2 linked regions of the Bombyx mori genome follow. The protein of the gene in region 1 binds, or shares a complex with, the protein of each later gene. Links are inferred from orthologs where the notes say so. Each region holds a gene or a part of one and is shown on either strand. Other genes may lie near its edges.

What was found. Proteins that work in one complex are often made in the same cells at the same time.
Region 2: the proteins of protein prenyltransferase alpha subunit repeat-containing protein 1 (region 1) and synaptobrevin homolog YKT6 are in contact, whole or in part, in a crystal structure (PDB 6J7F), measured with the Homo sapiens proteins. The link is inferred for Bombyx mori from reciprocal best matches to the Homo sapiens genes PTAR1 and YKT6. Residues at the interface, in NP_001093136.1 of Homo sapiens: Glu31, Gly33, Leu34, Ile35, Pro36, Val48, Val50, Glu51, Lys53, Leu54, Gly55, Ser58, Lys135, Tyr191, His225, Ser228, Met229, His230, Val231, Ser232, Asp233, Phe298, Asp301, Leu302, Ser305, Tyr306, His309; in NP_006546.1 of Homo sapiens: Met1, Ser29, Phe30, Phe31, Asn83, Glu84, Pro86, Gln131, Asn132, Pro133, Arg134, Gln180, Phe184, Arg189, Ser193.

Annotation. Positions count from the first base shown.
Region 1 is NC_085127.1:9,751,056-9,756,865, reverse strand, and holds protein prenyltransferase alpha subunit repeat-containing protein 1, read right to left. Parts: upstream 4,057-5,810; 5' UTR 3,915-4,056; coding exon 3,838-3,914; intron 3,765-3,837; coding exon 3,370-3,764; intron 2,892-3,369; coding exon 2,026-2,891; 3' UTR 1,780-2,025; downstream 1-1,779.
Region 2 is NC_085124.1:7,754,686-7,760,824, forward strand, and holds the start of synaptobrevin homolog YKT6, read left to right. Parts: upstream 1-2,498; 5' UTR 2,499-2,733; intron 2,734-2,840; 5' UTR 2,841-2,870; coding exon 2,871-3,467; 3' UTR 3,468-6,139. Other genes in the region: proteasome subunit beta type-2, read right to left, coding at 453-607, 719-881, 1,129-1,322, 1,525-1,630. UniProt on the Homo sapiens protein: Vesicular soluble NSF attachment protein receptor (v-SNARE) mediating vesicle docking and fusion to a specific acceptor cellular compartment. Functions in endoplasmic reticulum to Golgi transport; as part of a SNARE complex composed of GOSR1, GOSR2 and STX5.

The DNA.
Region 1 (5,810 bases):
GATAGGCATTTACCAAAGTCCATGACAACGTGAATGGCACGGTCTACCTTGAAATTTAAGGTCTAAGCCTCATTTTTGTTTTTTTTTTTTTTTTTGTTTTGATACCACCGTCTGCAGACGTCAACATTGACACATAACTATGCCTCCACTGCGCAATATTCTTCACAAACCTCATTTGAAGGTTGCCATCTCTCATGAAGTCTGCCATAGCACTCATTAAAGGCAGAACAATCGGAATAAACACGACCTCATATTGTCACAAAACATTCGTTACTCTAGGAAAAAAACATATTTTCGCTGCCCTTATTTGACGGGTTAAATCGACCATGCCAGGGTAAATTTTCAGAGATATAACGTTTTTTCGTTTTTTTTCCTTTCTAATTTTTATTTTTTATTTTTTTTTCGATTTTTTTATTTATATGTGTTGACGAGCTCACAGCCCACCTGGTGTTAAGTGGTTCCTGGAGCCCATAGATATCTACAACATAAACGCGCCACCCACCTTGAGATATAAGGTTTAAGGTCTCAGTATGGTTACAACGGCTGCCCCGCCCTTCAAACCGAAACGCATTACTGCTTCACGGCAGAAATAGACAGGACGGTGGTACCTACCCGCGCGAACTCACAAGAGGTCCTACCACCAGTAATTACGCAAATTATAATTTTGCAGGTTTGATTTTTATTACACGATGTCATTCCTTCACCGTGGAAGACAATCGTGAACATTTCTCAAGTACGTATTTATTCATTAGAAAAATTGGTACCCGCCTGCGGGATTCGAACACCGTTGCATCGCTACATACGTATGTAACGGACGTCTTATCCTTTAAGTCACGACGACTTAAAATTAATGCGATTTAGTTCCTAATTTAGTTCTTAATTTGGAAGGCAAAGCCAAGTTGGCGTCCAAAATCTTCGGATTCCTCAACAGAGCAAAGTGGTACTTCACGCCTGGACAAAGACTTTTGCTTTATAAAGCACAAGTCCGGCATCCCATTTCTGGGTCGGGGCTCCCAAATACCAGCTTCTTCCATTTGACTCCACACAGAAGAGAGCCTTTCGGATTGTCGAGACTCCCTTTCTCACAGATCGTTTGGAACCTCTGGGTCTGCGGAGGGACTTCGTTTCCCTCTCTATTTTGTACCGTATGCTCCATCTGCGGAATTGTTTGAAATAATACCTTCATCTCGTTTTTACCATCGCACCGCCCGCCTCCGGAGTAGAGTTCATCCATACTACCTGCAGCCACTGCGTTCATCCACAGTGCGTTTTTTGCGATCTTTTTTGCCACGTACCATCCGGCTTTGGAATGAGCTCCCCTCCACGGTGTTTCCCGAGCGCTATGACATACCCTTCTTCAAACGAGGCTTGTAAAAAGTACTTAACGGTAGGCAGCGGCTTGGCTCTGCAATTGGCATTCCTGAAGTCCATGGGCGACGGTAACCACTCACCACCGGGTGGGCCGCCTCGTCGGCCTATAAAAAAAAATTATAATAATCCAAAGTCCCAAATCAAATGCGCTTTGTAAGAAACAACATAAAACTACTCGGAGTATTTCTAAATTAGGACCATGACCAATATAAAGCGGATTGTGCGTCCACACGAGTATGTCCTGCCTATTTCTGCCGCGAAAGACATACGTTTCGTTTAATAGGAAGTAGCCATTTGATCCGAACCATTGGAGCCGTTATTTGAGTCTAATCAAGACTAAATCCATATTAATATCTCAAGGTGAGTGGGAGAGAGGAAGCTTGTCCAATGTTAAAAAAATCGGCATCATTTTAATTAAAATGTCTTTTAATATTGTGGTATACTTTTATAACATTATCTTATTTGATTAGATCATACAAAATCCTGTTTCAAAACTAGAATTACAATTTTCAAAAAAAATACCTGCAATTACAAATGTAAAAAGATTCCAAGCATTCAGCCTATAGCCTTGCTTGCTTGCCTAACTTGACTCCAGTTTAAGTACGGCATTTGTAATTGTTTAAACATAAATTCACACAAGAAACACAGAACTATTCATATAACAATATTTAATCCTTCAACAAATTTCAAGTATTTTTCATGTCTTTCTGCAAATTTATCTGAATCACTGTTTCTTTCTGCAATGAACTTTCTTTCATGCGAGATGAGCACTTTAAATATAGCACTAGAATAAACATGATTACAATCATATCTTACTATCTTCACTTGCTTTTGCCTTAAATCATTAGAATTACATTTCTTACAATTGTCTTTGACTAGAGCCCCATTCTGCTTCTTCAATCCGAAATATTCATACATGGAAATGATCAACTCATGAACGATGTACCGTCTATGGTACCATAGTGACTCATGCCACTTATAGAACTGTATCAATTCACTATTTAAAACTAATTCACGGAAAAGTACTTCAAATTTTCTACATAGATAAACATTATTATGTTTACAGTTACAATTTCTAGTATTTGAAAGGAGCAAATTTATTAACTTTTCTTCAGAGTACTCCATTAAATTATCGTCTGCGTTCAGTAAAGTCATATCATTCTGTAAAGCTTTTAACAAAACATTAACAAAACATTTACGTAAATCAATTTCAATGCTGTTTTGAAACATTTTCCAGAATACATCATTCAAATGTAAGATAACATTTTTTATGCAATATTGTCTATAGTGAAAACAACTAAAATCTGAAACATGTTTTGATGTCCATCTTTCCGAGAAATTATATTCTTTGATGTACAAGAGGTCCAAGCTAAAATTTGTAATTTTCTTTAATGTATTAAGCAGCCACATACGATGGTTCCAACTGTGATAATTATTAGGACTTTTATCCGAGGCAATTTGACAGAGATGAAACTCCTCATTAACAAGATTCTGGATATAGTTTGATTGGAGGTTTTCATCTGAAAATGAAGGCAATTCTTTAGTGTAGTTAGAAATAATACTTGTATTTTAAATTCAATATATTAAATTCAATGTGTCATAATTGTTTCTTTTATCTCTTTTCTGATTAAATTTATTTATTACAATCAAGAACTAGACATTTTATATCCATTTTACCTATTTTCTTATAATGTATTTATGTTTCAGCTATTATATTGCTATAATGGAAGATGAAAAATATCCAATTAAGCTAGAGTAAATCAATAAATATTATTGGAGTCAAGTATGATCTCAGAATGAACAAAAACAGGCTGAGATAACAATTAATTAAGCAATTCATAATTTCTTGTGTTTATGCCACGGACAGACAATGTACTGCCTAGTGTGCACTGTATCTTTTGTAATCTAATTTATAACTACGAGCTTTAACGTTCTGAAACATTAGTGTTTTAGGAAATTTAATAATTCAGTATCTACTAATTCATTTATTCACTATACCTTGTAATATAGCCTCGAGTAACCATCGTCTATACCCAAACGCCTCATTACATTTGGGTTTCCTTGACAATACTAATCTAGTCAATTTCAACTCTGAACTTTTTTCTAATAAATTTCTGAGTACCATATCACGCCTTTTGTTCCATAATGTATTAAGTTCTGGGTTCAGTAAAAGTGTTACACTCAATAATCGACCTAGTTTTTCCGAATGTATAGAGCCGAGTGTGCTGTTTCGACGTTTAGTTTTGCAGAAATATTTATCCATTAATTCTGAGTAGCAATACATGTACACATGCTTAACACACCACGACTCCAGCCCTAAGCAATTTTCTAAGTGAAGAACCGGAGTTTTATTGCGAAAATTACTATCCACTGGAACTATGTCGAAAGCGTACCTGAAAATATTTTACGTTTTAATATATTTAAATAAATTCCGATTATCTTTGAATTTGTGCCAAATATATTTACAACTCAGCGTTTTTCGATAAAACATTTTCAATATCTTTTATTATTTTTTCAACCAGCGCGAATTTATCCTCCTCCATTATTAATGCACACAATAACACGTAATTGAATTAATTGAATATGAATAAATACATAGGTAGGTATTGAAATATACAAATCGTTTTTTACTAGTTCATTGAAAGTTTAAACTCAAAACATCACATATGGGTATTATCTGTGCATGACGATCACAGCACAGACCTATCAGAAATTCGAAAACATTGTCAATGAGAAGGCTTACTGAATTTGGCCCCTCATTTTTGATTTTCGGTTTTATTTTTATTTTTAATTATTTGTTTGTCGTTTATTCGTTAATGTTCGAATGTAAAAATTGTTTGTTCGTTTTATTTATAATTAATTAAACAAATGATCATCCTTAAGTTGGCCCCTCATACTAGATATCTTTATTTTTATTGCTCAGATTAATTAATTTTGATTTATTATCGTTTGTTCGACGACTATTGGTGATTGTTCGCTCATAAAAATAATTAAATTCTCAATTATTAATTATTTTATATCTAATAAGCAAACAATCACCTCACGCCTACATTGCGCATGCGCCGATTTTCAGTCAACTGGCAAAATCGTATTTAATAGCGTTTTGTTAACAAGTGCATTTATACTGTCTAATATTTCTTATGTAGATCAAAAAAATATTGAAAACTTCAACAATACTTCAACAAAAATATGTCAGTGAAGACGGTCAATTAGTCGTTAAAGTATGATTAGCGCGGTCTTAATAAATTCAGTTATTTTTAATGATATTGAATATTAACAAGCATCAGTGGCGTACCTAGGGGGGGGCGGTGGGTGCGGTCCGCACCGGGCGGCACTTACCCTGGGGCGGCATTTTAGCATTTACTTTTAGTTGTTTAAAACAATTTATTCATTTCATATTTATTTTCTTTCTTGAATAATAAATGATTATTATGATTATTATAAGTTTAATATTTGATTTATATAAATTATGATTAACTATATGATTTCGAATATTATTCATCGGTGTATATAAATGCATATTAGTGTAAATTTTGAATGCTAATTCAAGAACAAGGTAATAATTTGATTTTATTGTATTAATAAAAATTCTTTGAATTCGTAAAAGTATCTTTTCGATTTTGTTCGGCAATTTTTCCTAACTAAAATTTTTTAATATCAGTTTATAAATGTCATTTCGTTTGAAAAGTTTATATGATTACTTTGAAGTAATATATCAATATTTTTTTATTCATCGATTTTTCTTTTGAAAAACAGGGCCGGCGGAAGGTGCTCTGCTAGGTCTGCAAGGCATTAGGGCGCCGGCATAAGAACTATCTTTTTCAAACAACAAAATCTAAACGAGATAAAACTAAAATACTGACGAAGTTACAATTTCAGAACTCGCAAATAGATAAATATTCTCAGTCCGTTTTGAAGAATTGTATTTGGATTGATAAATTGCTTAAAAACCATTTTGTTCATTAGCGATTCAATCTTTTAACAGTGAAGAGTGAAACAAATTATTAGGGTGCAAGTGCATTTGGGGAATTTATAATTGTTAAGCATATTGTATTACGTATTGTAGATATAGATGTTATTCAGCGAAGTAAAATAGCTTTGCCGTTTTCTATAAATAATATACTATTTATTTCGGCAAGTTATATTTTTATTATATATCCCTAGGATGAAACGAGTAAAAGAAAGCGGTGCGTCATTTAGAAAGAAAAGAAAGAAAAGGGAGGAAATACAGATTAAAAACACTGGAGCACTACTCAAATACATCTCTCATAAGCCAACTTCTAGTTCTTTTAGTATTGTTGCCTTAAAAACGGGTGAAGAAGCAGCGCTCGAAGGCGAAAAAACATTATCCAATGTTGTTCAAGAGGAAAGACCTGCTTCACACACTGGCGAAGAAGTAGAAAGTTTATCAAGTCCTGATGAAGAATCTGCTGCACAAA
Region 2 (6,139 bases), on another chromosome or scaffold:
AAAGAAGTTATCAAGAGTAGTCTGTAACTATCCTAAAGGTTCTGACCCACGCTGCTTGGATCTCTACCCATGTCTACCCACATGAGTAGTAAATTTTTTTTATTGCCATGGTGGGCAGTTGAGTTTACGAACCACTTGGTGGTAAGTTGCTGATAGTCTGGCACTCAGGTGCACCATCAAACAGCTGCTACCTAAAGTAGTAATTATCTCTTAGGCTACTACTAAGAGAAAATATTCTACTTCTTAAAATATAACAACACAATTTTGAAATACATATAAGCCTATTATTATAATTAAGCCATAGTAATTACCAGTTAGAAAAAACAACCATCAAAGATATACCAGCTTGCAGTATGAATAATATTATGATGTTAAATGAATTTGATCACTAGTCATCTTACTCATAAAATTTATTCATTTAAAAGTTTATTTTCCATACAAAAAAGTGAAAATTATTGAAGAGATGCAGAATTAATGGTGGGCAGCACTTTAATCCCATCACGGTTTACAACAGTCACTTGGAAATTGGGGAGACTAACAAACAATCTTTTGTGAACTTCTTGAACACACTTCTTAAGGATGTCATATGCCTCTGTTTCTGTAGCATCTGAAATGAATAATGTTTTTATTTTGAGTTGCCACTTGATTAATACATTATTAAATTTATAAAATATTTTTACAGATGTTGAAATATAAACAAATATTATTAACTACTAACCTTTTTTATGGTAACGATCCATAATACTCAAACTTAGATATCCACCATAACCATGAGCTGCAAATGGTACCTTCACGCTTGATGCTAAATAGTCCATAAAATACAGTTCAGGTCCATTTTCTTTATCATAACCACCCATGAGCACATTTACAAAGTAGGGAGTCTGTAATTTTTTAGAATAAATATTGAAACTTCTCAACAGTACAAAAATTTTCAACTAATAGTTAATTCTATAGGTACAATAATTGATTAAGAATCAAGATTTTTTGTGGAGAATGTTCATCGTCATCATCAACGCACAATCGTCCACTGCTCGACACAGATCTCAATTCATACCACTGAGTCTTCAGCTCTCCGAAAAATAATAACTGTCATGAATCAATCATAATAGAAATAAAAACACAACTTACACTGCTCCTAAGATACTCTGCGAGATTACGACGTGTGAAACTGGCTGCAGCTGAGGGCCCCAATTCATACCCATTACGCATTTTATACAACTGAATATTTTTTGCAATATATTCAGCAAATTGATTTGTGTCTCCTGAGTCACCAATGACACCCATTACTAATCTATCAGATATCTTATAGATCTTTTCTTCATCTGTAAAATAGAATAAAAACTTTGATTATATAGTATAGTTTATTTGAAAAATTGGTATTAGAAGTTAGATTCCATTAGTACAAATAAAATGCCAAAAAGCAACCTAACAAGTTTACTTGAACCGTTTTTAGATCTGTTTTTATTTATAAAACTAATTTGATCTGAAAATACAGAGGATTCTGTTACAAATTTGCAAACTCACCGTCTTTCATGATCATAATGCTGTGGCTGTTGCTCTGATCGGCTGCTATCATAACAAAGTCGTTGCACTGTATTCCTAAGAGACATTGTAAGTTTATATTTGACATTTTGCAGTCGTATTACTTAATTAGCTTTCACTGCAAATAGTCTTTTCAAGATAGAGATACTTCAATCAATTGAACTGAATTATTTACTTAATTAACTTAGCTATTCTGCCTGTGCGGCCTTAAATTTCATAAATTGTCAAATCACTTTCAGTGTTGTCAGTGTTGAGAGTGTTGCGTGCATACCTTGGTATTGGTAGTAATTCATGGTTTCGGTTTTTTGGAGAAAAGTTGGAGCTATATTTCGTTTACCTATGTGATAGGAATTAATAAGTAGTTAAAATACAAAAAAGAAAGTGCACTAATGTGGGAAAATGAAACAAAGCTGCTGGACGTCACTTCTCGGGATCCTCCAAAAAGTCTCAGTAGATGACCACCATTTTATTAAGATTATATTTCATCCCATATCATCTCATCTCATTTCATTTGATTTCATACCAGTTGATTAATGTCTCGAATTAATAATCTTCATTTCATTTCATCATTTTTCATATAAATAAGAAAATAAATTAAAATAAAACATGACTTAAAGGTCTCTGGCGTTAATGAACGCACATTTTTATGATGCGTAAGCCGGAACGCACGAGATGTGGGAAAAAGAATATAGTCTGTGACACGGGACCTTTTTACCGCCAAATATTTAAAACGACAAATAATTTATAATGTGTTTAATAACTAATGTAATATAATTACTTAGAATTGTTTATGCCGCTACAACAATAAAATTTATATTGTTTCAACTGTGGTGTTAATTACATAAAACACGACTACGGCGAAATAAAGAAGGGACTCTATATGAGCTCCCTTAGGTCTTAGTTACCAGGTCATAAAATCCCTTAAAAAAATTCTTAATAATCTGTGAAAGAGATATTCTCATGACGTAGGCATTAAGACATTTATGACAAATAACCAAGGCCAAATAGTAAAAAATCACTTTTTACGATTTCACGAAGAAAAATTATCTTACAAATGTATTAAAATAATTTTAAGACTTTTGTCTGATTTCGGGTAATCTAATATTGTAGCACGTCCAAGATTGTACAAACGTAAAATTCATTCAGAAGGCTCATTTACGACGAATTAAACGACGAGCTATTGAATCTTGGGTAATATATTTTTTCTTTTATTTTGAATTCTTCTAATATATTTCTTAAAATTCAGACTTTTCATTATTTTTGTAGTTTTTCTGTATTAAAACTGTTTTAATTTTCAGAGACCGAGCGATAAAAATTATCTAACAAAAATGGTGAAAGTTTATGCACTACTTGTATTGTACAAAGGGATTAATAATGCATCCATTCTGAAAGGTGCTTATGATCTTCGGAGTTTTAGTTATTTTCAAAGAAGTTCAGTGCAAGAATTTATGACTTTTGTTAGTAAAACTATGGTAGAGAGGACACATCCAGCATCAAGGCAATCAGTTAAGGAAGGAGAGTATATGTTGCAAGTGTATGTGCGTGCAGATAATTTAGCTGGAGTATTGATATCCGATCACGAGTATCCTAACAGAGTAGCACACACTTTGATCACTAAAACTCTTGATGAGTTTACAGCTGCAGTTCCATCAAGCACTTGGGCTACGGGTAAAGAATCAACAATTGATTTTCCATCATTGGCTTTACATTTAGAAAAATACCAAAATCCCAAAGAAGCTGATGCATTGACGAAAATTCAAAATGATCTGGATGAAACGAAAATTATTTTACATGATACAATAAAAGCTGTACTTGAGAGAGGTGAGAAGTTAGATGATTTGGTTGCTAAGTCAGACAGCCTGTCGATGCACAGTAAAGCATTTTATAAGACTGCGGCAAAAACTAACAGTTGTTGTAATTTTTGAACAGTATATTATTATGATTAACTGTTAACAAAAATGGCCATAACTATTGTAGTATTGTTGATAGTTGCTGAATGCTATGTACTATTTAAAAAAATTATATGAGGTTTGATATAGCTTTTAGGGATTATAAAATATAATTGTATCTCTGATTAATCTGTAACCTGTCACTAAGAGAGTGGCAACTAGCCACAAATACTAAAACCAATTTTAGCAAAGGCTTGAAGAATTATCCTGACCCATCGAATTAAAAGTTCAAACAAATATTGAATCATCATCTTTTCCTTAAGAAATTTCCTTTTATGTTTGTCTGGAAGTTTGTTTCCTAAAATTTAAAAATTTTAGAGGGATAATTTATTTTATTACCTCTTGAGATTACGTTTGTGTTGTAAATTATGATTGTAACTCTAAATCATACAATTATGGCTAAGAGCCAAGAAAAAAAAAAATTAGTTGAAGACTTTTGGGTTTGTTAGAATTGGAGAGCAACATAATTATTAACATTACAACATTATTATTTATATTATTGAGTAATTTAAGAGCAGTGAGTTTAATGTTTAAACTACAAATGGGTCATCATGTCATACTAATTAAAATTGATTATTCCAAAGTAGTATAGTATATCATGAAAATAACTCTAAGGTACCAAGTGTACATATGTTGTAACTTGTTATTCTGTTGCAGATTACTGTAGTATACTTGAATTCTTAACTAATTAAATTTTTGGTCTTAATTGCAATTGTTAAACAAGTCCAGATGCAGACATTTTGAATTATTTTCATCATCACAATGAATGTCGACTTACAGTATTGGTCTAAGGTCTAATAAATGGGTTAAGGATCGTGTGATTTCATTGCAATAATGTACAAAAAACCATGCACAAAACATTTGCAATAACAGCTTAGAAAAGAAAGATTGTGAAAGTGACTTATTTCATGGTTTTTACTAAAATTTAAATGTGAGCTTTATTTAAGTGATAAATGGTTAAATAGGAATAGAAGTTTAACAATTCAGAGAAAAATGTTATAATTATGAATTATGAAGTCTTCTTATTGCATTCCTCAAAAATGATGTTGTTAAAAAATAAATATATCTATGTATGAAAAAATTATTAATGGTAATGTATAGGCCAGTTATTAAAGAAAAATTTGATCAAATGCTGCAGTTTATCAAATTCGATTATATTATACAAGTTGAAGTAGTTTGCAAAATTGATCTGAACTGTTGGGATGATGTAACAATATTCCGATAATAGCTAGCCATTAGGAGAAAATTGCCATTCAAGAGTTGAATTCGTGACATTAATTTTAACAGGCAAGAATGATCTGTTCTGCTCTTAATTAAGAAATTCGTTATCAGCAGGCTTGTTTATAGGCATATTATTTATTATGTGCAAATATAAAGACATTGCACTGAGAATGTTTAATATTTTGAAAATATTCAATTCTTCAATTGCATCACAACTGCTAAACAAGTTTGATCTAGTGAGTCTGTGACACTATTCATTCAGTCACAACCAAAGTTCATTCATAACCCTTGCAGAGGTGTCGGTCATAATCACACGTTTAGGATTACACATGGTGGATGCATTACATACAGTGCCTGAAACAAATTCTGTATAATGCAATGGGATAAAATCGTGATGATCATGTTTGCTTCCATTGCCATCTTTATAGCAATATATAGATATTGTCAAAGGCATGGGAGCCTGTTTGTAGCTAGCATTTGGTATTAAAATAATAGTAAAGAACAGGAACAAATGTAACTATAGTATCATATTTACCATCTATAAACAATTGAAAATCATTTAGTATTGGCGTCAGTTGCCTGAATGGCAACATGAAGACGTGATATTTTTGTGCTCATACTCATGAATCTTTTATATTGCTTTTTCGTTAACATGTTGAACGCCACATGAAAAATCGACTATTTTCATTCAGGCCATGATGCTCACCGGTGAGCCTTTTACTGGTGATAGCACGTCTTGTGAGTCTGCACTGGTATGTACCATCGTCCTGCCTATATCTTCCACCCATCTAAGCAATAAAAAAAAGCCTTATCGTAGTGAAACGTTCGGCCATGAGGCTCGCCCGGGAGTCACGCGAGGGTTCCAACGTAAACGCTTCCTACACACAAATTGCAGCTATCAAACAAAACGCGTATGAAAGTGAGCCGCGTGGCCCTTTAACCAAACCGAACGCCTTGGTTTTCAAATCCCATAGAAAGTTGGTTCTTATCAAGATTATTTATTGCCTTTTAAAATATCTTAAAAACTAGCCTGTAAAATTCGCTAATTTTCACCATCCGTGCAAATTATCGCATTTTATATATTTTAGAATTCAAATCTAGTTGTTAAAAATTACTGATTCCCTGATTTTGGCTTGGCCTGAATGGTATAGTAAGTACGCTAGGCCCTTAAGTGGGCCGCATGGCATTCAAGGTGTTAATGAAGAAAAAAAAGAGAAAAACAGTTACATTTTATTTTTATCATTATAAATGTAAACAAGCCTTAGGATATGTTAAAAGTTAATGAAACCTATGAAATATGTATGTAATTTGAAAATTATGAAATGTAAAGAAACGCTGATGTGAATAGGGAAATTCCCTTTTTTGGTGTTAAGGCTTAACAGTTAAGCAGAAAAAGATCTATATTTAATGTACTAATCTAAATCGAA